Linked DNA regions of Arabidopsis thaliana. The protein of the gene in region 1 interacts with the protein of each later gene in a pairwise test. Each region holds a gene or a part of one and is shown on either strand. Other genes may lie near its edges. The genes, in order: GSTF6 and AT5G38550.

Region 1 (12,226 bases):
CTGTTGATCTCTTATCCACCTGAAACAAACAAAACCAGAGACATCTTTAAGACTCAACAACAAAGTTGCCATCTTTCTTCTATCAAACTTTGATCAGCAACAAATGGCAATGAAAGTTTCGACCTTTCCCATTCACCAGGCGAAACAGTCTCGGCCTTGAACCTGATTTCACCTTTCAGCTTCGATTGGGCTACAACCGATTGAGCCCGTGTATCAAAATCTTCCTATCAAGTTAAGAGAACATCACTGTTTTGCAAAATGAGAATATTTTGTTTGTTTTTTTCAAAGACAGAATCTTTTCGTTACCCCAATTGAAGGAAGAGATGTAGCTGCCTTTGAAGAAGCTCCAAAACCTTTTTTCTCGATTTCCGGTGTTTTGCGTTCACCCCATACCACAGGAACTAAGAGAACACCTCGTCTTAGGAGCTCGGTTCTGAACCTATCTGCTTTTTGCATCGCAAGTGTAACAGTCTCTTTTTTCCCAGCTAGAATAACCTAACGACAGTGTCAATCACTACTCAGAAACTCAAAGGCTAATTCACACTCCAGGCAGTAAAAAGTAGAAAAAGAAACTCACAGGTCGAACTGTATCCCTTAGCTGCACAAGTTCAACAACGCGGTTGGTTGACAGGCGTAGAGGCAACCGGGAAAGAGTTTCGTCTCGAGTTATTTGAACCATTTGTTCTTCCTCTTTCTTGTTTTCCCAAAGGAACAATGAAACCATAACAACAATACCTGCACATTGCTGTTCCGAAAGCTTACTCACATAACAGAGAAAAAAAGGAATTTAAGATTCAAGTGGTGTCTATGACTCACCTCCAATGTTAATTGCAGCATTTCCCGTAGTTTCCAGAAGATTTGGAGCACCATCACCGCCTCTAATTGCCTGAACCAGTCTTGGTACGGTAAAGAACATTGAGATACCCGCTGCTGCTGCAAATGCAAAATAAAAGAATTTTCTAACGCCACGAAACGGTGCTCGTACTTCACTGATAAGTTTCAGATCTCTCCGGAAATTATCGCCAATATCTTCCCCGCCTAACCTAGCCTGAAACAATTGGAAGAAATTTTCACCAATGAGAAAGTTTTCCTTGGGATATGAAAAAGATATACAAAAGGAGAGTGCAAGACCTCTTCTTGCAGCTCCTTAAACTCGGGTAATGCGCGAAAGGATGCTAAATCAGGATCGTTAAGAATCGTGGCAAACTTCAGATTATAATCTCTCAACGCAATTCGCAAGCAATCCACAGCTTTTTTTCCTTCGCCCCTACCTCAAATCGATAAACAATAGGATGAAATGAAAGAAAACATAATCTCATCAGGATCTTTCAAATCAGTAGATATAAGACAGTTTCATTAGTACATGGTTCGAGGTTCTTACCGGTAAGCATGACAACATGCTTTGTTATAGTAAGCAGCTTGTGACTCAATAGGATTTGGAGCCAAACTCAGTGCAGTTTCAAACTGAACAAGAGCATCTTTCACCTGAAAGAATCCAACATGACAAATCAACTAAATCTGTTCCAAGCAAAGACTCTTTTGCTAGCTCCAAGTGTCAACATTATAACTAGTACAAGCGTATGCAGAGAATTGCTAATTTTGTTTCCAAGTTTCAAACATTAAGATCAAGAAACTAGCAACGATCAGACAAAAAGTATCCCTTTTAAAATTACTAGCGACTGGAAAGTAACTAAATTTTAGGGCTTACCCATTATACATAATCATACAAGCGTCGCAATAGAAGACAGGAGCAGCCAAAAAGAGTAAGACATAGAAAACCCAAAACCGACTGAAACATATTCACCTACGACCACAAAACCATTCGAATCGAACTCTAGTACTTACCCGTCCTCTCTTAAAGAGATCAAGACCAGTATTGACGCACAACTCTGCCGTGAGATCATCCGTCGGTGAATTTGGAGACGGAGGCGACGACGACGGAGAAGAAGAAGAGGAAGCGTAAACAAACAGATGGGAATCCCAATTCCGGCGAGAATTGAAAAGGGTCGCGTCTCCTGGTGGCAGCCATGGCCTTCGTTGCTTAACTCTCGAGTAAAGGTTCGAGATGCGGCGGGGGAAATGGCGGTTTAGCGACGGAGCTGTAGCCACAGCCATTCAATTTTCTTCTACGCTTACGGAAAAAAAACAAAACTTTTATCCGCTTTTTATTTCCTCTGTTTTATTTCGGAAATAATATTTAACTTCCAACTTCTTTGAATATTATCTAGAAACTTATATTTGGTACGAATTAGACCCAAAGAAAAAAACATTGTTGACTTTGTCACACAATGACACAAGGTTTGGAATCGATTAGGAAAACGAAGAAGATTAGTGATTTGATGAGTAGCATAACTAAGCTGGAGTTGGTGTTAAGATTAGTGATTGATGAGTAGCAGACCTAACTTGGAGTTAGTGTTGTGATATTTTAATAACTGAATGTGATTCTGTCTAACTATGAAGTTTAATATTCTAATTAAATTGCAAAGCATTAAAAGTCAACAGTCAATTTCTTCCTTACAATGGCAAAAATGAAGTCTCAAGTCAGCTTTCAAAAATTAGAATAATTAAGTCAACTTTCAAGAATGAGATCAACACTAATTTTCTTTTCTTTTTTTTGGTCATAAGAGATCAACACTACTTATTAGTAGCTAAACTTTAGGCTACCAAATATATTTTTATTATATATCAAGACTCATTATTATTGAAGATTACATTCAAACCAAAAAAAAAAAACAGAGGAGACACACACAAAAAAATCACAGAGTGTATGAGAATTTGGCAATTAGGTCATCGCCACTTTTATTGTTTATGAGAATTAGGGCAATGAGGTCATCGCCACTTTATTCAATCTTCTGATTAACAGTTTGTGAGTCACTTAAAGAACCTTCTTAGCAGAAGGCCTAGAAGTGATGTCAGCAACCCAAGCACTGACATGTGGACGCTCGTCAAAGAGTTTCTTAGTTGGTGTACCAAGCAAGTACTGAATCACAGGGATAGTGTGAAGATCGACCAAAGTGAATTTATCAGAAGCCAAATACTTGGACTCACCAAGCCTGTGTTCGTAAACATCGAGGACCTTGGCTAGCTTAGCCTCTTCTTCTTCAACAACGGTTTTGTCTGTGGTCATACCATACAAAGGCTTTAAGACTTGCTCCCAAACAAGCTTTGAACCAACTGGGTCAAACTCATGCGATTCAATTTCAATGCCCATGGCTATGCCCGCAATGTCCTTGGAGCCAAGGGAGACAAGTTGGTTTCCTTTGTCTGAGTAAAAATGAGCTATGTATTGAGTGATTGCTCTTGATTCTGCCAACAAAACATTAAAAAAGTTGAGTGTTTCTGCTTTCTTTAATTGCAATTGTCAAAAACAGAATTTGAGATTAGGTCTAAATTTAAGTGTTTTGCTGCTTACCGAAAAGCTTGAAGTCTCCATCTTCAAAGGCTGGAACTTTACCAAAAGGCTGCAAAACAACATTCAAGATTTTTCAGACTAAAGGTTCAGTATCTAAATGAAACAATATTTTGTTTTGACAAATATTACTCACGTTGCGGAAGATGAAAGGCTCTTTCTTGTGTTCACCATCTTTGAGCTCGATATGAACGAATTCAAAGTCGAGATTCTTCTCGTGAAGAGCGATGAGAACTCTTCTAGTGGCTGTGGAAGCTGGGTGACCGAAAACTTTGATTCCTGCCATTTGTTAAGACTTTGTTCTTAAAGCAAGGTGGAGATTTATTGAAGTAGAGAGATCTTTGTGGTTGATGAAAAGAAATACACAAATGGGAGAGTGTATTTATACAACTAAATTAGAGTAACTTAGTGAATAAACAAAAAACAAACGGCGCCACCAAGCTTGAATACTCTTTGTTATTTCATAGTCAAGCTGAGTAACGTATGATTCGTCGTTTCTATTGGTTCAAGATTTTCATATACTGTTCATATAACTTATAAAACAATATAATCGGAGAAAATATCAACCATGGCTGGATAAGACAACAAGAATAGTCTTTTAATGTATACTAGTCAAAGTTGACCGACGTTGTTGAAAACATATGGATCGTTGGATGTTCAAATTGGATCATTGAATCAAGGAGATGAGGCAATGTGAAGTTATTATTAGTCAAGAAGCTATTCTTTTTGAATCGTTCTTCGTAATAAATCTATCTAGAACCTTCTCTAGCTTCGCCTTGCTTGCATTCACAACCTTATAGTCCGTCTTTAGATTTAATGGATTATACCCATGTAAGTATTGATGCGAGTGGATCGAACTCATAAGTTTCAATATCCATTCACAATGTTTGTGTTCCCATTGTTTTGTAGCTTTCGTAATTCACAAGTTATGAGCCTTTTGATCTATGGACAGACGAGATGTATTCAGATATAGCTCGAGACTCTGAGCAAGACTAGACATATCAAAATTTTCCCGAAATCAAACTCAAAAATGTTTATCAGATCAATAGTTGCATGAGTAAGGTCAAGAGGCTAAAAACCCTAATAAGATATAACAAATATAAGCAACTGATCGTTACGTAATAATATACCCTCGTTATAACAAGTTTACTAGGTCGTCGATGACTAATCGCTAAATTAGTAAACAAAAATAGTTCAAAATAGGTCTACTTCAGTAAAGAGTTTAGAGATTAAAAGACGATCGTTCGAGCAGAAAAGACCAGTTAAATGGAAACCCTAGTTAAGACTTACATTCCGTGAATACAAGTAATCTACCTAGGAAATGAGAATCCTAATTCCGGCGAGAATTGAAAAGGGTCTCCGTCTCCTGGTAATAACCATTTCCGTCGTTTCTTCGCACTCGAGTAAACAGAGGTTTTGCGACAGCTATGCAATTTATTTATATGCTTTCCTAAGAAAACCCTAATTTTATCTTAAACACGCTTCCTTTTGTTCCTCTGTTTTATTTCGGAAACTAATTAACTTTCAACTTTTTTGATCTAGGAACCTTTTTTGGTGACAGTTACGCTCAAACAAATATGAATAACATTGTTGACTTTGAAGCTTGCCATCACCACAGAAGGTTTGGAATCGATTAGGGAAAGGAAGAAGATTAGTGATTGATGAGTAGCAGAGCGACCTAATTTGGAAGTCAACGTTCAAGACTTAGGAGAATGATAGTCAACTTTGAAGAATGAGATCAACATTAATTGGTAGTTAAACTTTAAGATAAGAAATATTTTATTATATCAAGACTCATTATCGAAGATTACATTCAAATCAAACACTCGGCAGCAGAAAAACAGAGTAAACACAAAAAGAAAAACAGAGTTTATGAGAATTGGGCAATTAGGTCATCGCCACTTTTATTACATCTTCTGATCGATAAATAGTTTGAGATTCACTTAAAGAACCTTCTGAGCAGAAGGCCTTGAAGTGATGTCAGCAACCCAAGCACTCACATGTGGACGCTCGTCGAAGAGTTTCTTAGTTGGAGTTCCAAGTAAGTATTGAATCACAGGGATAGTGTGAAGATCGACCAAAGTGAAGTGGTCAGAAGCCAAATACTTGGACTCACCAAGCCTGTGTTCGTAAACATCGAGGACTTTGGCTAGCTTAGCCTCTTCTTCTTCAACAACGGTTTTGTCTGTGGTCATACCATACAAAGGCTTTAAGACTTGCTCCCAAACAAGCTTTGAACCAACTGGGTCAAACTCATGCGACTCAATTTCAATGCCCATGGCTATGATCGCCATGTCCTTGCCAGTTGAGAGAAGGTTGTTTCCTTTGTCTGAGAATTCATGAGCTATGTATTGAGTAATTGCTCTTGATTCTGCCCACCAAAAAAAAAACATTTTTGAGTGTTTCTGCTTTCTATTATTGCAATGATCATAAAACCAAAAATTTGTAAACATGACTATAATGATATATATTTGTATTTACCGAAAATCTTGAAGTCTCCATCTTCAAAGGCTGGAACTTTACCAAAGGGCTGCAAAAACAATATTCAAGATTGTTAAGACCAAGATTCAGTATCTAGATGAAATATAATATTTTGTCTTGACAGATGTTTTATGTACTCACGTTGCGAAGGATGAAAGGCTCTTTCTTGTGTTCACCATCTTTGAGCTCGACATGAACGAATTCAAAGTCGACATTCTTCTCGTGAAGAGCGATGAGAACTCTTCTAGTGGCTGTGGAAGCTGGGTGACCGAAAACTTTGATTCCTGCCATTTGTTAATACTGTGTTTTTCTTGTTCTTAAAGTAAGGTGGAGATTTATTGAAGTAGAGAGATCTTTGTGATTGATGAAAAGAAATACACAAATGGGAGTGTGTATTTATACAACTAAAACAGAGTAACTTTAGTGAATAAACCAAAAACAAACGGCGCCACCAAGCTTGAATACTCTTTTTTATTTTGTTTTTTGGATAAAATTCTTGGAATGCTCTTTTGTTATAGGATTATTTCAAAGTCAAGCTGAGTAATGTATGATTCGTCGTTTCTATTGGTTCAAGACTTAAATATAACGTAAAAAATAGTTAAAATAAAATAAAAATAAGAGAAAATATCAGCCACCGCGTGACAACGACCACAAGAATAGTCCTTCATCTACTAGTCAAACTCTGACCGACGTTGTTGGGTCCACGTGGATCGTTAGATGCTCGAGTTAGATCGTTGGATGCTCGAGTTAGATCATTCGATAGAACGAGAGATAATAAGAAACAAAACAATATCAAAAGAAAAGAAAATTTGGTTTCACACTTTTGACAATCTGGTACAATTACAAATTTGGGGTCAATAAAGTATTTAATCATATTGAAGTAACTAACTAAATTTAGCATAATTATGGAGAAATACATTACTAAATCCTAACTATAATTTCGTATAGAAACATTCAAAGGAACAGAGTAATTTTCACATTTTCCACATCCACAAAAATGCTCATTATAAACAACTTTGACATTTAATCTTGTGACATGTATATTGAAGTATATATTATTCTTTGGAATTTTGAAATCATTATGGCAAAAAAAAGAGTGATTTTTGCAAAAGCTTTGCCTTTTATTCATAACATCAAACTTAAAGAAATCACCGAAAGTACATCACAAGATTATAAGATTAATTCTTCTTCTTATGGTACCAAGCCTTCACATCACATGCCCTCTTCCAAGCCGGTCTAGCTGTGATCTCAGCCACCCACCGGCGCACGCTTGGCCGGTTTACAAACATTCTCTTTGTATGTGTGTCCATAAGGTATTGTATATTAGGAAGGTGATAAAGATCAGCCATTGTGAAGCTGTTACTAGCCAAGAAGCTAGAATTTTTGAGTCGTTCTTCGTATATATCTAGAACCTTCTCTAGCTTCGCCTCGGTTTCATTCACAACCTTATAGTCCGTCTTTAGACCGTACATAGGCTTGATGGATTGTTCCCAGGTCAGTGTTGATGTGAGTGGATCAAACTCAAAAGATTCGATAGCCATCCACATTCTTTGTGTTCCCATTGTTTTGTAGCTTTTGTAATTCAGAAGTTGTGTGCCTCTTGATTTATGGACAGTCGCTATGTATTCAGATATAGCTCGAGATTCTGACGAAAACAAATTATATCAAAATTCATTAGATCATTAATTAGTTGAAAATGTAGTTTTAAACTCACCAGTCAACTTAAGACCCCCGTCTAGGAAAACTGGGACTTGACCAAATGGCTGCATCAATAAGAAGAGACCAATAAAATGGAAACCCTAGTTAAGACCTAACCATTAATCATGAAGCAGAGTTAGATATTTAGATGTGAAAAGTACATTGATAGCGAGAAAACTCGGCTTCTTCTGGTCACCGGCTATCAAGTTGACGGTGATGGGATCGTAAGAGAGACCTTTCTCATGAAGAACGGCGAGGACACGCCTTGTGTTGGTTGAGTAAGGGTACCCATAAATCTTGTACTCTGCAATTTTACATATTTCATCATGTAATACGATGAAGAAGGAGGAGAATTAAGAAACCCATCAAAACTTCTTTATTCCATCCCATTAATTAGTATATAAATGAGTATGATTACCATCTTTACGAGCTAATTCTTGACACCATTTAAAGCATTGGCGACTACTCTCGAACGTCTGGTTACAATGATGGTAGCAAGTTTCCGGTACATGGCTCGCGTTTATGCCCATCCCTACAACGCAATTATGAATATTCAAAACCATAGCACAAGAAGAAAAGCAAACAAAAAAAATTCAAGATAATTACATTTGAGTGGTTCATAAGAAATGGACAGCATAACCATGAGAGTAAACAAAACCAATAATATGGAGGAACCCATTTTTTCTACTCTCTCTACTCTCTATAGTACACTCATAGAGGATAGAGCATATAAAGATGTATTTATAATTAGATAAGGTGAATCCATAACCATTATTATTTACTTTATTTCCTTTTCAAAATTTGTTAATTAATAAGTTGGATTTTTTACATGAAATTGTAGATTTCTTTCCTTTTACAGTTTTTTGTTCTTATATGAACTTTTTGCACTAGCTTATACAATTTAGCCAATCTAATTAGGTAGGATATAGCGTTGAACCAAAAAATAAAATAAAAAAATTGAGGTATAGATTTAATAGCTTATCTAATTGAGGTATATAAAGTTTAACTGTTTTTCACTCAAGTAAATTTAACACTAAGACTAAATTATATTGTTTTTTGCAAATATTTTTATTATGTAAACTATTTTTTTTATATACAAAATATTTTCGTTTGCAAGGTTTTTAAGTAAATAAAATAATTTTTTTACCTTTTAAATTTTCGGATTTAAAATTTTCAAATATATTTTTATTGATTTAACTAATTTAGTACTAGGAATACCCAAATATTCAATGAAACTGGATTTTATTATTTTCAGTTTTATTATTATTATTTGAATTGAAAATAATTGAAATATTATCAAAACCAATCCAATATGTTCAGGCACCACATCCGAGGCTGTGTGAATATAGCTTGTTTTAAAATTCCCTCCTTCTATTTGGTTACTCCAGAAGATATTGGTAGTTTTGGAGTAATGCAACTTAACATAACAAGAATGCATGAGTGTAGTGATCTATAAATTCAAAATTGGCATCGAATTATTTATATCTGCTTTTCGCATTTTCATAATCGTAGAATCTTATCTGAATTTATCTAATTAGTTTAAATAATGCTTTTTTTGTTCTTTATTTATTTACATGAAACATATATTAACCAAACATAAAATAAGATTCGCAAGGCAACAAACAACACGCACAAGCTTACAAACAAAGACCCAAACTCAACATACACATACACACACATTCACACGTAAAGATTACTTCTGCTTTCAGTTAGTTCCTTGGCTTATTAAACCAAGATTTCTCTTGATCACATGCCATTTTCCAAGCCTCTCTACTCGTAATCTCATCCACCCACTTACGCACTTTAGATCTTTTTTCGAACAATTTCTTCGTTGGAGTTCCCAAAAGGTATTGTATGTTTGGTAGGTGATGAAGATCAACCAAAGTAAAGCTATTACAAGCCAAGAATCTAGATTCTTCGAGTCGTTTCTCGTAGATATTTAGAACTTTCTCTAGAATAGCCTCGTTCTCTTTGACGATTGTTTGGTCAGTCTCTAGACCGTAGATAGGCTTAATGACTTGTTCCCAAGTGAGTTTCGATGCGGGTGGATCAAACTGATGAGCTTCGATTTCCATCCACATTGTTAGAGTTGCCATTGTCTCGTGACTTCTAAGATTCAGAAGCTGTGTGCCTCTTGAGCTATGAACATATGCGATGTATTGTGTGATGGCTCGGGATTCTAGAGGGGGAAAAGTTGATTAGAGATATAAGTATAACAAATGTTTATCATGTTGTTGTTATTAGTGTGTAAGATTAAACTCACCATACAGCTTAACACTTCCATCCTCAAAAACAGGGACTTGACCAAATGGCTGCATCAATAACACATTGTTAAAACTCGAAATCCTTGGGTGACAAGTAACCAAGACAAGCCCTAGGTGAGTATCAAAACCTAACCATATATAACAAATTTTTGTATATGTAGATGATTCGGCACAAAGTCAATCTATAATTAGGTGTGTAATATCTCATCCTGAAATTACTAATCATTCGATTTTGCGATATCATTCCTTACGTTGAGAGAGAGGAAAGGTTCGGTTTTGTGTTCACCGGTTTGCAATTTGACGGTAATAGGCTCGTAAGAGAGTCTTTTCTCATGGAGAACAGCGAGGACACGCCTTGTGTTGGTGGAGAAAGGATCGCCATGAACCTTGTAACCTGCAACTTTGAATCATAGAACAAATTTCACTGAAATCAAAATTATCTTAATTTTTGTTTGTTTGTTATAAACCTATATATTAATTAATCTTACCGAGCTTTTTAACTTCTGCCTCACGTTTCCAGTTTGGAAATAACTTGAACACCATCTGTAAGCAGTCCATATATACGATATAGATACACTTGTTTAATTTCTGCATGTATCCTCCATAAACCCTATTATATATACCAACTTAGTTATATGCTTTTTCTTTGCAATACAAAAGCTGAGGAACATTTTGTTTTTCCTTGACATCCACGTAAAGAGTCCACCTTTCTTGTGTATTGAGAGATGAATTGTTCCAATGATACAATGTAAACTAGGGATCTACCGTTTTATTTCATTATTTATCCTTTCTGGTTCTTTTATTATCCTTTTTGTTCCATTATTTTAAGTGCTAATTAATAAACAAGACGAATACTATGATTATGCTTTACTTTGAGGTTTACCAAAGCACACGACAGGAATCAAACCAACAAACAGTTCATGTATAAATAACTAAAACGAGTTGAATCATTTGTGAGAACTGATTAACGCCTTTAATCAGTAGTAAACCCAAAGAAGAAAACACGATAAATCAAAAAACACTTTAAGCTCTGATCAGTATGATTGTTATCAATCAGAGAGCTTTAATTATCGTTTTTATACACACTGATAAAATCATTTGCAAGTTTTTTCCACATCTTGACATTTGTGTGAGTTATATTACAAACTTGAGAAATATGAAGACAAAATAATCACATCATTGGTTTTCTGCACTTCCAACTCCTTCCTGTTGAAAATTGAAAAGCTAAATATCACAAAAGAGTTTAGTGACATGGGATAAGAGTCTAAAGAGTGGAATCAAAACTGACCATGGCGCATATACTCGGATAAAGTTCCCTATTTCGATATCAACATCCGCACAAACTTTCGGACTAAAAATAATTGTTGTTTCTGTTTCTTTTGCCGCAAGAGCTTGTGTGTTCTTGAGTAATAGGGAGTCCTACAAAATCGAATGTGACTAAATCAATTGCTTAAGGGTCTAATTAAAGGAGCAGGTTTATCAGATGCGTCAAAGAGATGGAGAGATAAACCCCAGAGAGGTCAATGACAGAGCATTTGCAGACGACAAGCTTTCCCTCCAAGTGTCTTGACATGACTTTAACATCAACATAGCCCGATGAATCTGAGTTGGGAAATTGGAACGAGTAACAGAGGTATGAACTAGATTTTGTTTATATGGGAGTTACAAAAAGAGTTACCTGCTTCTCCGATTCCGCTTTGCAATTTCCTCATGATTTCCATTTCCGTCTCTTTTTCTTGTTTCATGATCTGTTGCAGCTTGCCATACAGGCTAGAGCCACTGCAAATTGATGCAACCAAAAATGGGTTTTCATGTTAACTGATGTGTGATTTTAAGAGTGTGGTGCATAAAAGATGTTGAGAGTTTGATTACCCAGATAATTTAGGTGAACCGAACAAGAGACCTTCTTTGCTCAAAGAGGAAGCTTTTATTGCTTCATCAAACCGGTCCCCAACAAATTGTTTCTTCTGGTTGGAAATGTTTGGCACTGAGCTTTGATAACTAGGCTATGTCACAGAACAATATAATTTGAATTTGACTGTAAACTGAGGAGAAGGAGATTACCCAAATCACAAGAAAGGAAAAGAATAAAACCTCATCATCGCTTGATGATCCACTATCCATAGGTCCAGGAAGTTCATCATCAGTATCACTATCTTGGAAGTTAGATGAATTTCCCTTATGAGTAAATTTCCGACTTTTTGCTTCATGTCTGCTGTCCTGGAGCAGAAAGGAGGCCAAACGAATGAAACAGATGTCTGAGAGCAAAGCAGCAAATCAAATGCTAATCCACTGTATAATCAATAATACCAGTTCAGAGCTTCTTTTTATCAGTCTAATTTTATCTAGAGGAATTTCTTGAAGCTTGGGTACC
Region 2 (14,018 bases), on another chromosome or scaffold:
CCTCACTAAGCTTTGATTCGCAACTCACAGCTCACAAATCCGATTAAGAACTCAGTACAAAGAAACGATTAAGCAAGTAAACAAGAGAAACCAAGACTCAATTTGTTAACCCGGTTCAGCAATCATTAGATAAAGCAAGGACCACTATCTATCAAATACATCTGTTATTCTTTTTCTTCAAAAGACTACCAAATTTTATGTGTGTATGTATGTATATTTCAAAAATACATTATATCATGCAAAAGAATATACAAGATCGAGGACATGTTTAAAGGGAAAGAAGAAAGAAGCAAAGGCAATAAAAACTACTAAGGTACAAATCTGGACTGGTCACGACTGCCCCAGCTACTATGTGACTGTGAGCGATCAAAGAAGTCAGAACTATAATCTTGACTCCCAAAAGCCATTCTTTGAAACATCCTTATCTGAGCAGATTGTTGTCTCGAGTCAAACACTTGGCTCTGTCCTGGTCTCATTCCGTTGGTTATGTCCGTTGCTTCTTCAAGTGTGTCCAAAGCTCTCACCACTTGACTCATCTTTGGTCTTTTTGCAGCTGAGTGGCGGACACATGCAGCCGCAGCTTCTACCATTCTGAACATCTCTCCTGGGATGAAGTTTTTCCCTAGCCTCGGATCTACTAGCTCGTCGAATTCTTCGTTCTCGATTGCTTGACCCAGCAAGGGTCTTGCCTAATAAAAGTTATGTAACCAAAGGGGGTTAGAAGACACTTGTTGAATCATGGAAGTTCAAGAAATATGGTAAAACTAGAGCTGCACTTACCCATTCAACAAGGCTCTCATCACCAAGTGGTTGAGACGTATCTACGGGTTTACGGCCAGTTATAAGCTCCAACAGTATTACCCCATACGAATAAACATCTGCTTTTTCAGACAGCTTTCCACTTGTTGCATATTCAGGAGCCATGTACCTAAGAGAATTTGACAGTTAATATCGGTTAGTTCTTCTGTGAGTAGTTGATTTTCACACAAAGAACGTTCTAATAAATAGTGCATACACACACACCCAAAGGTTCCCATTACGCGCGTTGAGACGTGTGTGTTTAAATCCAGTTCTTGTGCAATTTTTGCAAGTCCAAAATCCGCAACCTGTGACAAAAAACTTGCTTAAGAGGTCAGCGTTGTGAAAGAAAGACCGTTTAATGACTAGAATAAAGCTCATATGATGTTACCAAGGCTTCAAAGCTGTTATCAAGAAGTATGTTGGAAGATTTTATGTCACGGTGAATAATGCGGGGATGACCTGCCAACGCAAAAAAAAAAAGCAGAGCATTAGAAGGTAACAAAATTATGAAAACTAAATATCATGGAAAAACAAAAAAGCATCAGTAACTTACAGTCTTCATGTAAGTAGGCGATTCCACGAGCTGCACCAGCAGCGACCCTTACCCGAGTTTCCCAAGTCATAACTGGTCTTCCTGGAGCTGCGCATACACATGCATTGAAGTTTATGTAGTTATAAAAGGATAAGTTTATGGTTTAAGAAGATGAGGCATTTGGTACCATGGAGATGATAATGGAGAGTGTTGTTAGGTACATAATCATATACAAGCAACCTATGTTGCTCTGAGATGCAATAACCAACTAGTGTAACCAAATGGCGGTGATGAACCCGAGAAATGATTTCAACTTCTGCTTTGAACTCTCTCTCCCCTTGGCTTCCACCAATCTTTAACTGTTTAACTGCCACTTCCCTTCCGTCAGAAAGAACGCCTTTGTATACACAGCCAAACCCTCCTTCACCGAGAAGATTCTTCTCGGAGAACCCACTGGTAACTTGAGATAACTCATCATATGAAAACCATGATCTTTGGTTGCTAACCATGCCTGAATCAGATGACGCATACATGTAATCGCTACCAGAATGGCTTCTCATTTTAGGAGGAGCTGAAGAACGCGAGTTGAAGAGCACTACATCTGTCAACACGAGTTTTCTGTTAATAAACAACTCAATACTGGGTAAACAAACAAGTAAGAATGTGTTGGTTCATGCATTGATGATTACCACGGAGACAATCTATACATTTGATCAGAACTAAAAGATTATTCTTTTCCTTTTTTATTTGTCGCACGTATCAAAAATAGCTGCTTCTCTAGTTACATATTTGGTCTCATATCCTAGACTGAAAGTATAACCACAGCATTGTACCGACAACACAGAGAAACACATAGTCAGAAGCTAACTACATTAAAAGGGGATGATCAGATTGATCAAGACATTAAGCAAAATCAAGCAGTCAAAACTCAGCGAGAGTGTCATGCTTCTTAAGCTTCTGAAACTAATCATACTACTCACAACACTCAATATATACTGTAAAGAGAAGACACAGAAACCACACTGGCAGAACCAAATGCAGATTGATCAAGACATTAACAATACACATTATCCAAAACTTAGTGAGTGTTCCATGCTCATTAAGTTACTAAAACTAACCATACTACTCAGTACACAGTTCTTTCAACAGTTCTCGAACCGTTAATGAACAAACCAACTAGGGTTTCTAACCGCACCCTAAATGCAAAAGGATCTTAGATTATCCAACTACAAAATGCCTTTACAGAACCTGAGATGTATTCTTCTATGTTATATTACCTGAGCCTTGAGGAGATGAATAAGCGGAAGGAGGCATTGTGTATCCAACAAAGGTTCCAGGGTCCTTTCGCTTTCGTTTCCGAGTGAACCACACACCCATCACAAAAAGGCTAAGAAAAACCAATCCCACAATCACTCCGATAGCTACAATACCTCCAGTACCAACTTCGCTTTTACCTGGTGAACTAGACGGCAAAGTGTTGTTTCCATTGTTTGAAGCTGGTCCAGTTGGTTTAGCAATTGGTTTCTCTCTGGGAACAACAGGTAATGGAGTTGGAGGAGGAGCTAACGTAGAAGGATCAGTAGGATTTGAAGACGGAGGAGAAGCAGAGGTAGCTGGAGGAGGAGGAGGAGATGTGGTTGTTGTTGGAGTTGGAGTTGACGGAGAAGGTTTAGGCGGTGAAGGTGTTTCTCCCGGTGGTGAAGGTGTTTCTCCCGGCGGTGAAGGAGAAGGTTTAGGAGGAGGATTTGTTGTTGTTGGTGCGGGAGGTGATGGAGAAGCATCAGGAGGCGGTGGAGGTGAGACAGTTTGCGGAGGAGCTGGTGGTGTTGTCGCCGGAGTTGAGGGAGGAGGGGAAGCAATCACCACAGGAGGTGGAGGGGAAGAAGCAACGGTGGGAGGAGGTGAAGTGATGACAGGAGGTGACGGTGGTGGAGAAGAAGACGGTGGAGGTGACGAAACAACCGGTGGTGGTGGTGATGATGATACAACCGGCGGCGGAGATTGCGGCGGAGAAGGAGGTGGTGTAACCGGAGGTGGAGCAGATGGAGTGGTGGGCTGAGTCTGTAACGGAGGAGGTGCAGTTGTTGAAGAATTTGACGACGGTGGTGATAAAATCGGTAAAGGAGGAACCAAACTCATTTCTATATCGAATACGAATCTGAAGCAGCAAACTTTCTTCTAACACAGTCGTTATCGATCCATTTAAACTCCAAAAATTGAAGCTTTGTGAACAAACAAACCCTAATTCCACAAATCGGATCAAAATCAACCTAAATTACGCAACCTGAAGTCAAACCTACTAAAATCAACCTAAATTCCCAAAATCTCCAATCACTAGCCCTAGAATTCCAAACCCAGATGGAAAAACTCGAGCTTTAAGCTCATATGCAGCTACACACGAAACTCAGAGCAGACCCAGATTAATAAACACTAGAAAGTTCCAAACTTTGAAGCTTTTTTCACTCGGAAGATTCGAAATTGGAGCAAGAATCGAGAAGGTAAGTGAGATTGAGAAATGGAGAAGGGAATGTGGTGAAAGGGAAGAGCGTGAGTCTTGTCTGAAGAAACGTGGAGGCAACTCTGTCTCTCTGGTCAGAGATATTTGACAGAGCGATTTACGCTTATGAGAGAGTCAGACATGTGCGGAAGAAAAAGAAGAACTTTTTCGAGTGTTGTTTCTTTTCTTATCATAGCATTGTTTCGTCTTTTTATTCATTGACTTGAGTTTCGTTTTCACAAATTATTCTCACATCATAACCACATAAAATGCCACGCGGTTTTTTTTTTTTTGTACGTTGTAAAATTCAAGAAAACTTTATTGCATAAAGGAGTTTTACTATTTTCACGAGGAATGATTTAAAAATGGAAAGTTAAAAAGTGGGTATGGGTGGAAAAGGAATAATAAAAGAGAGAAAAAAGTGTTTATGGTAATTTAGTAAATTAACAAGGAAAAATGTCTATGGTGTACATGTGCACTCTAATCATGGTTGATGTTTGAAAGTTTGTGCGCATGTTTGTTCCCTAAATTTGCTCTTTTTAATTATTGGATATTGGAGTGTTTTACTTGACTAATTACCGACGTGTACACGGTTATTAAGGTTTTAAAGTAGTGTGGGAGAACAACACTCTTGAGTTAAAAAGAAGATTAAAATGTTCAAGATTAGGCTGCAAGCAAATTAAATGCACATGCGTAGTTCGCATACGAGTAATTTAGTGGAATCCTGTAATTAGTGATAGTGTCTTATGACCATAGATACTCGGTTTAGCTTAGGTTCCAATTGGTTTTCTTTTTTTGGTCATATTTTTTTTCTTTTCCTATTGATGTTAAGTAATGTGAATGTTCGAGTTTGTATCTTGTACGATCTTATCGCTATTGAATATCTTGTGAAGTAGAGTTTTCACTCATTCGTAGGTCACTGAGATTAACTCACAAAAAAATTGGTGTAGCAGAGATGTTGATATGTTTTGGAAAGAATCTAAGTGCCTAGATCCTTGCTAAATAGGATTTTATCTCAAAGCATATATTCTATGTTTTATGGATGAATTAAACTTGCATATATACTTGACACGAGGTGATTGGCTCATATCATGGCTATTAAGGTTTTGAAGTAGTGTGGGAGGACACACTGAGTTTCAAAGATGATTAAAGTGTTCAAGATTAGACTTCAAGCAAATGCACATGCTTAGTTTGGATATAGAATATGGGCTTACGTATCTATAGATGGGCTTAAGTTGGGTTTCATGTGACGGTCTCATGTATGGATATATATATATGAGGCATGTTTGCCCTAATGTGAATCAGAGAGTTTTCCCTATCGTTTTCCTCGTTTATAATTGCATTTTTCATCGTTACTATTCGTTAAATATTTTAATTTTTTTAATTAAAATATCTTTGCAGTTATGTCTTCTTACAAAGTGTCTTTTCTCCATATTTATTTGTATTTTCCTTATCACAATTATTTCTTTCTAAAAATTAAATATTTTACAAATATTTGTGTCAATTTAATTGTTTATATCTTCTGAACTCTATATACTTTGTTTACCAAATATTCAATCTTCTGACAATTGTTTTTTTAAAGATGATTGATGGTCCAAGATTAAACCCGACCCGGACAGTGAACCCGACTACCTTCTCGATTATTGGGTCATCGGGTTAACCAGGTTGGACCATAAGTCAATTAATTAAAATTTATTTAATAAATTTAATATTAATAAGATTTTAGAGTTCTTATAAATTAAAAAATAAAAATAATCATGTTTATAAAATATAAAATCAGATTATGTTTAATAAAATATAAAATCATTTATACCAAAAAATAATAATAAAAAAAATAAATAATATATATATATATAATCAAACAATAATAATAAAGTGATTAAATTTTTTAAATCCAACTAAACGTCTAATACCATAACAAATATAGTAGTAGATCACCAATGACGGAAATAAACTAGTAAAACATCGTGAATTTACACAACTAATATCGGGTGTCTCACTCACCATTCGTTTCATTTTTAAGGCGGCATTGTAAAGTCTTCGTCAAAATGTAAACCATAAAATGAGTTTACGAACTGAAAAGATTTCTAAAAATGATTGAATAAAGTCTAAAATCTCATATTATATTCCAAAATAAAGAGAATATTTTAAAACCCACACCCGACCGGTTCACCGGATCATAGGTTAATAGTGAGTTTTTGTGGGTTTTTTTGATTTTGAACTTGTCGGGTTTTAGCACTAAACCTAAATCAGAAAAATGTTTGGGTCACGGTTCAACCGGTCGGACCGAGTGTGAAAACACTGACCACTGGGTTTTTCTATTTAAAAATAAGTTGAGAGTTTTAAAATGGATAAGTCTAAACTTGAGGGTTTTTTCATTAAAATTTATTTTTCTAAAATAACAACAACAATTTATAATATTCATCATTTTGAGTTTGATTTATTGTTTGAGAAATATTGTATAAACAAATTTAAAATATTTTTCTTCATGAAATCGCGAGAAAAGATATGTTTGAGTTTTATTAATAATAAAAATAATCAGATCATGTTTAACAAAATATAAAGTCTAACAATAATAAGAAAGTGATTAAAATTTATAAATCTAACTAAAACACGGTAAAAAAATACTAAGATAGTAGGATAGTGAATACGAAGAACTTAAAAAAGTTTTGAAATAATTCAATAATGAACAGTGAATACACTAAAACTCTATCTTTTTGTCCAAAATCAAATATATATATTTTTAAACGAATACCCGACCAGTTTACCAGATCACAAGTTAGTGCCAAATTTTTGTGGATTTTTGCGCTTTTTAAATTGTCGGATATTAACAGTAAACTCAAACCCGATAAATATCTGTAACACTGGTTAACCAGTAGGATTGGACGTGCAGATTTTTTTTTTCTTTTTTTGAATGAATGACCAATGCTGAAGCTTTACGGTTTGGTTGCAAACCAGAGTTGCAGTCCATCTCTCATGGAGGTTGAACCCATTTGAAGATATATATAGAAGCCGATTCCGAACTGTCCGGTCAATCACTTGAATTATTACCGATGCAGAGATGGGAAGCTCACCATGTCTTCTTCGATTTCTTTCCGTCCAAATTGAATGGACTGTCGCTTTAAATATACGTAGCGTAAAATGAATTGATGCGTCTTCGAGAACTGAGAAGTGGAGACAATACTTAGCAAAGCAGAGTAATCCAAAGTAAAATCTTGCATGAGAATTCGCTTGGCAAGATGTTCCCAGATTTGAGCCGAGAATGTGCAGCTGAAAAACAAATGATCCCTTGTCTCAAATGGAACTTGACAAAACACACATGTTGGATTGAGATTCGATGACCAAGAGCACATTTGATCACATGTCACGTTGAAGTTGGTTTTATGTTTCTAAAAATAATGCCAAACAATAAATGCTCGAAACTGAAGTCCACCTACAAGTTTTACGAGTAGGTTTGTCATATCATAAAAAACAAAATCTACGCTGTCGATGAGATGCAATCATGCAAGGTCGTTTTAAAATAATCGTTTGTTTGTGGAAGACGTACTTTAGGTAGTCTTTGAATAATTATTTCACAACTAGTTTATATTTTCACAAATTTAATATTTAATCTTGCAACCAGCAGCCTCATATATAACAATATAAATATACATTTTAGAAAAATGGCCAAAACTTGTATATATGAAAAAAGCCAAGTCCATCGCTAAACTTACTGATCAGCATAGCAGTCTGTTCATCTTCAGAGGTCAGCTCTTTTCTCTTTCCCTCATAAGCATGCTTACTTCTTATTCGCACCAATGTTTTAACCTTAAATAAGATCTTATCGAAATCTATTATTTATGTGAACGTAATGAGCATAGTTTTAGATATCCTCTTACAGTAGTTCCGTTTCTGCAATTGGTGATCTTAAATATTGTGTTGGTTCTTCGCTTGACAATATGTTTTGTTTTTTTAATATTCCCAATTTAATTAAGGAACACATGTGGATATTGATGCAGATTATTGTACTAGGAAACACAAGAACCACTTCATATCCAGCTGAATATTGATAACATCAGTTCAAGATGATCCAAAAGTTGGGAGCGAAAGGAATCAAGTCAGATGAACGTAATCAGCGGGAGTGGGATGATGGATCTGAACATGATGATGTAACAAAGATATACGTACGAGGTGGTCGTGAAGGAATAAGATCCATTTATTTCAACTATGTGAAGAATGGAAAACCCAAAGATGGATCAATCCATGGTTACTTTGACTCTGGTTTCACACAAACGGTATGTTCTGGAACATATACGGTATTCTAAAAATCGGCGGCTACCTATGCGTCTACAAGGCCAAATCACATAAACATTTTGATATTATATTGGCAATATCCGTCAAAAGAAAAGTCAATGTTATTTTGATGTAGATCTGATAAGGCTGCCGATTAATTTAGTTTTTTTTTTTTTAATTTTCTATTTGCTTTTTAATTCATTTTTAAAAGGGAAAATTATCCTTTAACGGTAAAATGTAAGTAGTAAAAGTTTACTCTAAGTTCTTTTAAAGTCTATAATTAGCAATTCTCGTTCATCGTCTAGAAAATCAACATATTCCTTAACTCATTTTATATTGAGGTGAAGTTGATATATAATGCTGACTTTGTGGTATTTGTATTTTCACTAATTATGCAGTTTGAGATTAACCATCTACGAGGTGAATATCTTGAATCTGTTGACGCTTACTACGACAAAAAGTCCTACGGTATGCAAGCAATTCAATTCAAAACTAACTTCAGGACTTCTGAACTGATGGGGTATAGTTATGAGTGTACTATGTTTACGCTAGCCGTCCAAGGAAAGAAGATCATTGGATTTCATGGATCTAATTATGTACATATATTATCTCTTGGAGCTTACTTCATTTCCATTGCTCCTACGAGATTGGAAGTGAAAGGTAGTAAGGGAAGCAAGAAGTGGGACGATGGATTTGACCATGAAAATGTATCAAAGATCGAGGTACTAGGTGGTTTTGAAGGCATACTGTACATCAAAGTTGACTATATCAAGAATGGAAAACTAGAAACTGGATTAGTCCATGGTCACTCTGGTGGTGATGGTTTTTTACAGAAGGTATGTAGCTATTAATTATAACTATAGGTTCATTTATTTGAGTATATTATTAAATCTTGTAGTAAACGTTTAATCAAATTTTTAGATGGAGATTAACCAGTCAAAGAACGAATATCTAGTATATGTTGAAGGTTACTACGATGATGCTTCTGAAACCATTCAAGGGCTTCATTTCCAAACTAACCTCAACAATCCTGTTATGATGGGGTATAAAAAGGGCAGGAAGTTTTTACTTGCATCCAATGGAAATAAGATCATTGGGTTTCATGGATATGCCGACAAAAGCCTAAACTCTCTTGGAGCATATTTCAGTACGACCACTCCTAATAAACTGGAATGCCAAGGTGATCGTAAAGGACTGCCTTGGGATGATGGTTGTAATTATGACGGCGTAAAAAAGGTGTATGTCGATAGTATAAGTGATATAGATAGTGTCAGGTTTGAGTACGATAATGGCGGAAAAGTGGAAAAGACTCCGTACCGGCGTGATGTTACAAATGAGAAGGAGGTCATGATTCTTTAAATCTAGTAACGTAAAATTTCATTGATACTATATATTGGTTCTTTAGGCGCTTATACGAAGTTGTTTTCTGATTGCAGTTTGTGCTTGACTATCCAAATGAGTTTATCACGTCTGTGGAGGGGACCTTAGCAACTCCGACTAATTTTGACATTACGTGGATTCTCTCACTGACATTCAAAACATCAAAAGGGAGAACCTCTCCAACATTTGGATCATCGTCTCCTGGTAGAAAATTTGTGCTGGAGAAGAATGGTAGCGCTCTTGTTGGGTTCCATGGATATATTGGTCCTGGTTATAATATTAAAGCTCTTGGAGCATATTATCGCCCGATTCCTCCTACTCCTGATGTGAAAAGACTAGAAGCACAAGGTGGTGATGGAGGAGCTTCTTGGGATGATGGTGGTACTTTCAACAGTGTTAGAAAGATCTACATTGGACTAGGCAAAAACGTTGTAGGCTTTGTCAAGTTTTTGTACTACAAAAACGCTCGTGTTGTCATCGGAGATGATCATGGCAACAAGACCCTTTCATCTGATCTCCTAGAGGTCACTGATTCAATTTCCATAATTTAAAGTTCTAGATTTCTATCGTACTTGGTCAACTTATTATCATTCTCGATGTATTTTTTTTTTCTTGTTTTGCAGTTCTTGTTGGATCCGTTTGAACATATCATATCAGTGGAGGGTACTTATGATGATACATCTGGAGGTATAACCATGCTTAGGTTCGAGACCAACTTACAAAAATCTCCATACTTTGGATTTGGTACAACATCAAACTTCTTGCTTCACAAGGATAATCACCAGATCGTTGGATTCCATGGAAAATCCAGTAACATGCTTCATCAACTTGGGGTCCACGTTATACCCAACGGTTTTAAATTTATTTAATAACGTTCTCTTACTTTTTCTTTTAATAAGTCATGTTTTAATGACATCACATCTTCAACTATCACAATATAATTTTCTTCTCCTAACATTTAAGCTCTGATACTTCTCAGCAAGTGTTGATTTTCTTACCCAAAATGCAAAAACACATTGTCCCAAATTCGTCTTACGGTTTGGTTCCATAATTTACATTTATGAGCTAAATCTATATACACACATACATGTAGAAATTTTGGCAATGCGTGTTATACATAGAGCTGTCAATTGGGCAGGACGTCCATGGGCTTGCCCAGTCCAAATGCATATGGGCGGCCTATATTCCGGACTAAAAAAAAATGGTCTAATTGGGCATATTACCAGTTTTGTCCATGGACAATATGGGCTTGACCGTATGAACAATGGGCTGCCCATGGGCATGAATTGAGTCAATAGACATGTCTTCATTTTAATCATATTTTTATAATTTTAATTACAATTACAACTAAATAATTTTCAAATTATATATTTTACATTATAAGTTTCTATTTTTATGAAAATTTTAAATTTTAATAAATTATTTCTTATTAAATTATTTACGGTTTTGAAGGAAAAATAGTATTCCACAATTTTTTGGAATACGCAAATTTTCGATTACGGTTTTGACGGGAAAAATACAATTCTCCGATTTTATAATTTTGACGGAAAAACGCAATTCTCTAATTTTACGGTTTTCACGGAAAAACGCAATTCTCTAATTTTACGGTTTTGGCGGGAAAACGCAATTCCATAATTTTTCCGCCAAAATCGTGATTTTATTGTATTGGTAAGAAAAACACAATTTTACCGTTTTGTCGGAAAAATGCAAGTCTCCGATTTTTACAATTTTTGCGGAAAAATACAATTTTTGAATTTTTCTTTAAAATCATGATTTTTGATTTATCAATAATAACAATAATAAAATGGGCTGATCATTATGGACATGGTCTTTATTGGGCATGGACATTTTCAGACCATTGTCCATTATGGACCGTCCAACTTGGCCCATAAAAAAAACTGTCTGTACGGACACGCCCAATGATCTTTGGACGGACCATTTGACAGCTCTATTTATACAGTAAAAAGTAATTTTCGTACGTTTCTACTTAGAAAATTTAGTGTTACTGTTTTAATATAATTCCAAACATTGTTTTTTTCCATATTTGGAAGCATCTTCTACTTTTTAGACCACATCAACCAACTGCATTTCAGAATACTGATAACAAGTGGTTAGATTGATAGAAAAAAACAAAAATAAAAAAAAACAATTGCAAGATTGCTCATTTAATTTTTCAATCTTGGCGATGGCAATTTCTCACATAATAATAAACAAATAAAGTAATAAACTATAAAGAGTTGGAAAAAAAAAGCAATGTATAATCCATTTCTATTTTATTAATCCGGCAGGCGTAAATTATTGTCTCGCCCCATGACATAACCGATCAACAAAGACTAGGAGGTAATGGTCCATGAGATATACTTTATAAAATATGAGTATATGACTCTGATTTGGTCTAAAATTGCATGATAAAAAATAATTATATTTTTGTTGGCAAAAATCAAAATTGTTATTGCGTATATTTAAAAAAGCTATAGAAGTTTTAATATACTTTTTAGTCTTATTTTTTTTAAACTTTTATTGTGTAATATATTGTTAATGTTTCTAATTAAAATTATTAAGAAAAATTCTCGCAATAAAGCGTAAAAAACAAAAAAAATCGCAATGTTTTTTTTATATATATACAAGATAGAATATATAACTTTTTTGATTTTAGTAAAAAAAATTTGTAAAATAAAAAGTTAAATGTTTTTTAATATAGAAACGACCCCTGTTTTAATTGGAGTCTAGGTCTAAAAAATCTATTCTATTATGTCGATAGAAAAATGTTCGGGTTGAAATATTACTTTTGTTTGTTAAGTTTTACGAGTAGGTTTGTCATCATAAAAAACAAAGTCTACGCTGTCGATGAGATGCAATCATGCAAGGTCGTCTTAAATAATCGTTTGTTTGTGGAAGACGTACTTTTGGTCGTCTTTGAATAATTATTTAACAATTAGTTTATATTTTCACAAATTTAATATTTAATCTTGCAACCAGCAGCCTCATATATAATAATATCAATATCCATTTTTGAAAAATGACCAAAACTTGTATATATGAAAAACACAAGTCCATCGCTAAACTTACGGAAGTCTGTTCATCTTCAGAGGTCAGCCCTTTTCTCTCTCTCCCATAAGCATGCTTACTCTTTATTCGCACTAATGTTTTAACTTTAACCTTAAGTGAGATCTTATCAAATCTATCACTGTAAACGTAATGAGCTATATATTTAAAGTTGTAGAAATTTAAATATCCCTTTATGTTAACTAATCCATGGTAGTATAATCAATTGGTTTTTCTTCCTTCTAGTTTAGATATTGTGTTGGTTCTTCCCAACTTAAGGAACACATGCATGTGGTACTGATGCAGATTACTGAATAGGAAAAACAATACACCTTCATACCCAGCTGAAGATTGATATTAGTTCAAGATGATCATAAAGTTGGGAGCGAAAGGAATCAAGTTAGATGAACGTCGTCTGTGGGATGATGGTTCTGACCATGATGACGTAACAAAGATATACGTAAAAGGGGGTCCCCAAGGCATAGGATCCTTTTATTTCAACTATGTGAAGAGTGGAAATCCAAAAGATGGATCAATCCATGGTTTCTTTAACTATGGTTTCACACAAACGGTATGTCTACGCGGCCAAAATCACATAGAAATTTTAATATTCGCAAATACCCAAAAGAAAAGTTTTAGTTTTTGCTATTTTTATTTGCTTTTAATTTACTTTTAAAATAGGGTAAACTATTCTTAAAGGTAAAAAAATGTATGGTTAACATTTATACGAATTTTATATATAATAGAAAATTCAAGGGCTAGATCCTTTCCAGCTCCGGATTGAACAATACTAATTTAGACTCATTTAGTGCATGATTGGTTGGGCTTTAAGTCTGACTTACAACCTTATTTTTTTTTAAAGCGTTGATTACAAACCAATCGTGTTATACCTTTATTTTTAAACTTACAGTCCAAATTTTTTTTATTTTTTTTTTAAGGCTGTAGTAGAGTAATTTCTCAAAGCCCTATTTTCTTGGCTGTAGAAATTTTAATTCATTAGATAAATACAAAAAATTAAATTATCAACATAAATATATAACAAAATTAATCTATGGAATATGTAAAATTTAGATTTATTTTATTAAGAATTCATAGGATTTTTTTTATTTTTATATCAGCATAATATATATATTTAAATTAGTAATACAAGGGATTTTATTTACTATAAAAATAAACTCTTATTACAATTATTATATTTATTAATCCATTTTTTATAAATATTTAAAGTTCAAAACTTACAGCAATAATTTTACAGCAATAACAGTTACAGCTACAACCAACACAGCTACAGCAAAATCTCTACAGCAAAAATTCTAGAGTTACAGCCCAACCAATCACCCATTTAAGTCCATATTAGAAATTTACGTTCATCTCTTAGAAGATCAATATAAGTAAAACCTCTATAAATTAATAATGTCGGGACTCGGAACCAAAATATTAATAAATATTAATTTATAGAGATATTTACTTTAAGTTTTTTTTTAAAATTTA

What was found.
Region 2: the proteins of GSTF6 (region 1) and AT5G38550 interact in a two-hybrid assay, tested with the Arabidopsis thaliana proteins (one large-scale study listed by BioGRID).

What each region holds. Positions count from the first base shown.
Region 1 is NC_003070.9:656,011-668,236, forward strand, and holds GSTF6 (glutathione S-transferase 6), read right to left. Parts: upstream 6,466-12,226; 5' UTR 6,182-6,465; coding exon 6,032-6,181; intron 5,940-6,031; coding exon 5,891-5,939; intron 5,781-5,890; coding exon 5,353-5,780; 3' UTR 5,078-5,352; downstream 1-5,077. Other genes in the region: LPA1 (tetratricopeptide repeat (TPR)-containing protein), read right to left, coding at 1-19, 124-224, 307-495, 578-735, 817-1,048, 1,132-1,267, 1,382-1,485, 1,846-2,115; GSTF7 (glutathione S-transferase 7), read right to left, coding at 2,876-3,306, 3,413-3,461, 3,546-3,695; GSTF5 (glutathione S-transferase (class phi) 5), read right to left, coding at 7,069-7,535, 7,605-7,653, 7,750-7,892, 8,007-8,120, 8,195-8,267; GSTF4 (glutathione S-transferase F4), read right to left, coding at 9,298-9,767, 9,852-9,900, 10,104-10,246, 10,341-10,446; AT1G02960 (kinetochore protein), read right to left, coding at 10,992-11,058, 11,141-11,271, 11,363-11,454, 11,531-11,631, 11,725-11,858, 11,947-12,072, 12,163-12,226. UniProt on the Arabidopsis thaliana protein: Involved in camalexin biosynthesis by probably catalyzing the conjugation of GSH with indole-3-acetonitrile (IAN).
Region 2 is NC_003076.8:15,429,298-15,443,315, reverse strand, and holds AT5G38550 (Mannose-binding lectin superfamily protein), read left to right. Parts: upstream 1-7,464; 5' UTR 7,465-7,575; intron 7,576-7,828; 5' UTR 7,829-7,894; coding exon 7,895-8,104; intron 8,105-8,500; coding exon 8,501-8,938; intron 8,939-9,023; coding exon 9,024-9,446; intron 9,447-9,538; coding exon 9,539-10,006; coding exon of another isoform or gene 10,007-10,033; exon of another isoform or gene 10,034-10,105; coding exon 10,106-10,351; 3' UTR 10,352-10,535; downstream 10,536-14,018. Other genes in the region: PERK8 (Protein kinase superfamily protein), read right to left, coding at 309-689, 781-928, 1,024-1,106, 1,190-1,260, 1,355-1,441, 1,521-1,934, 2,611-3,472; AT5G38540 (Mannose-binding lectin superfamily protein), read left to right, coding at 12,895-13,098.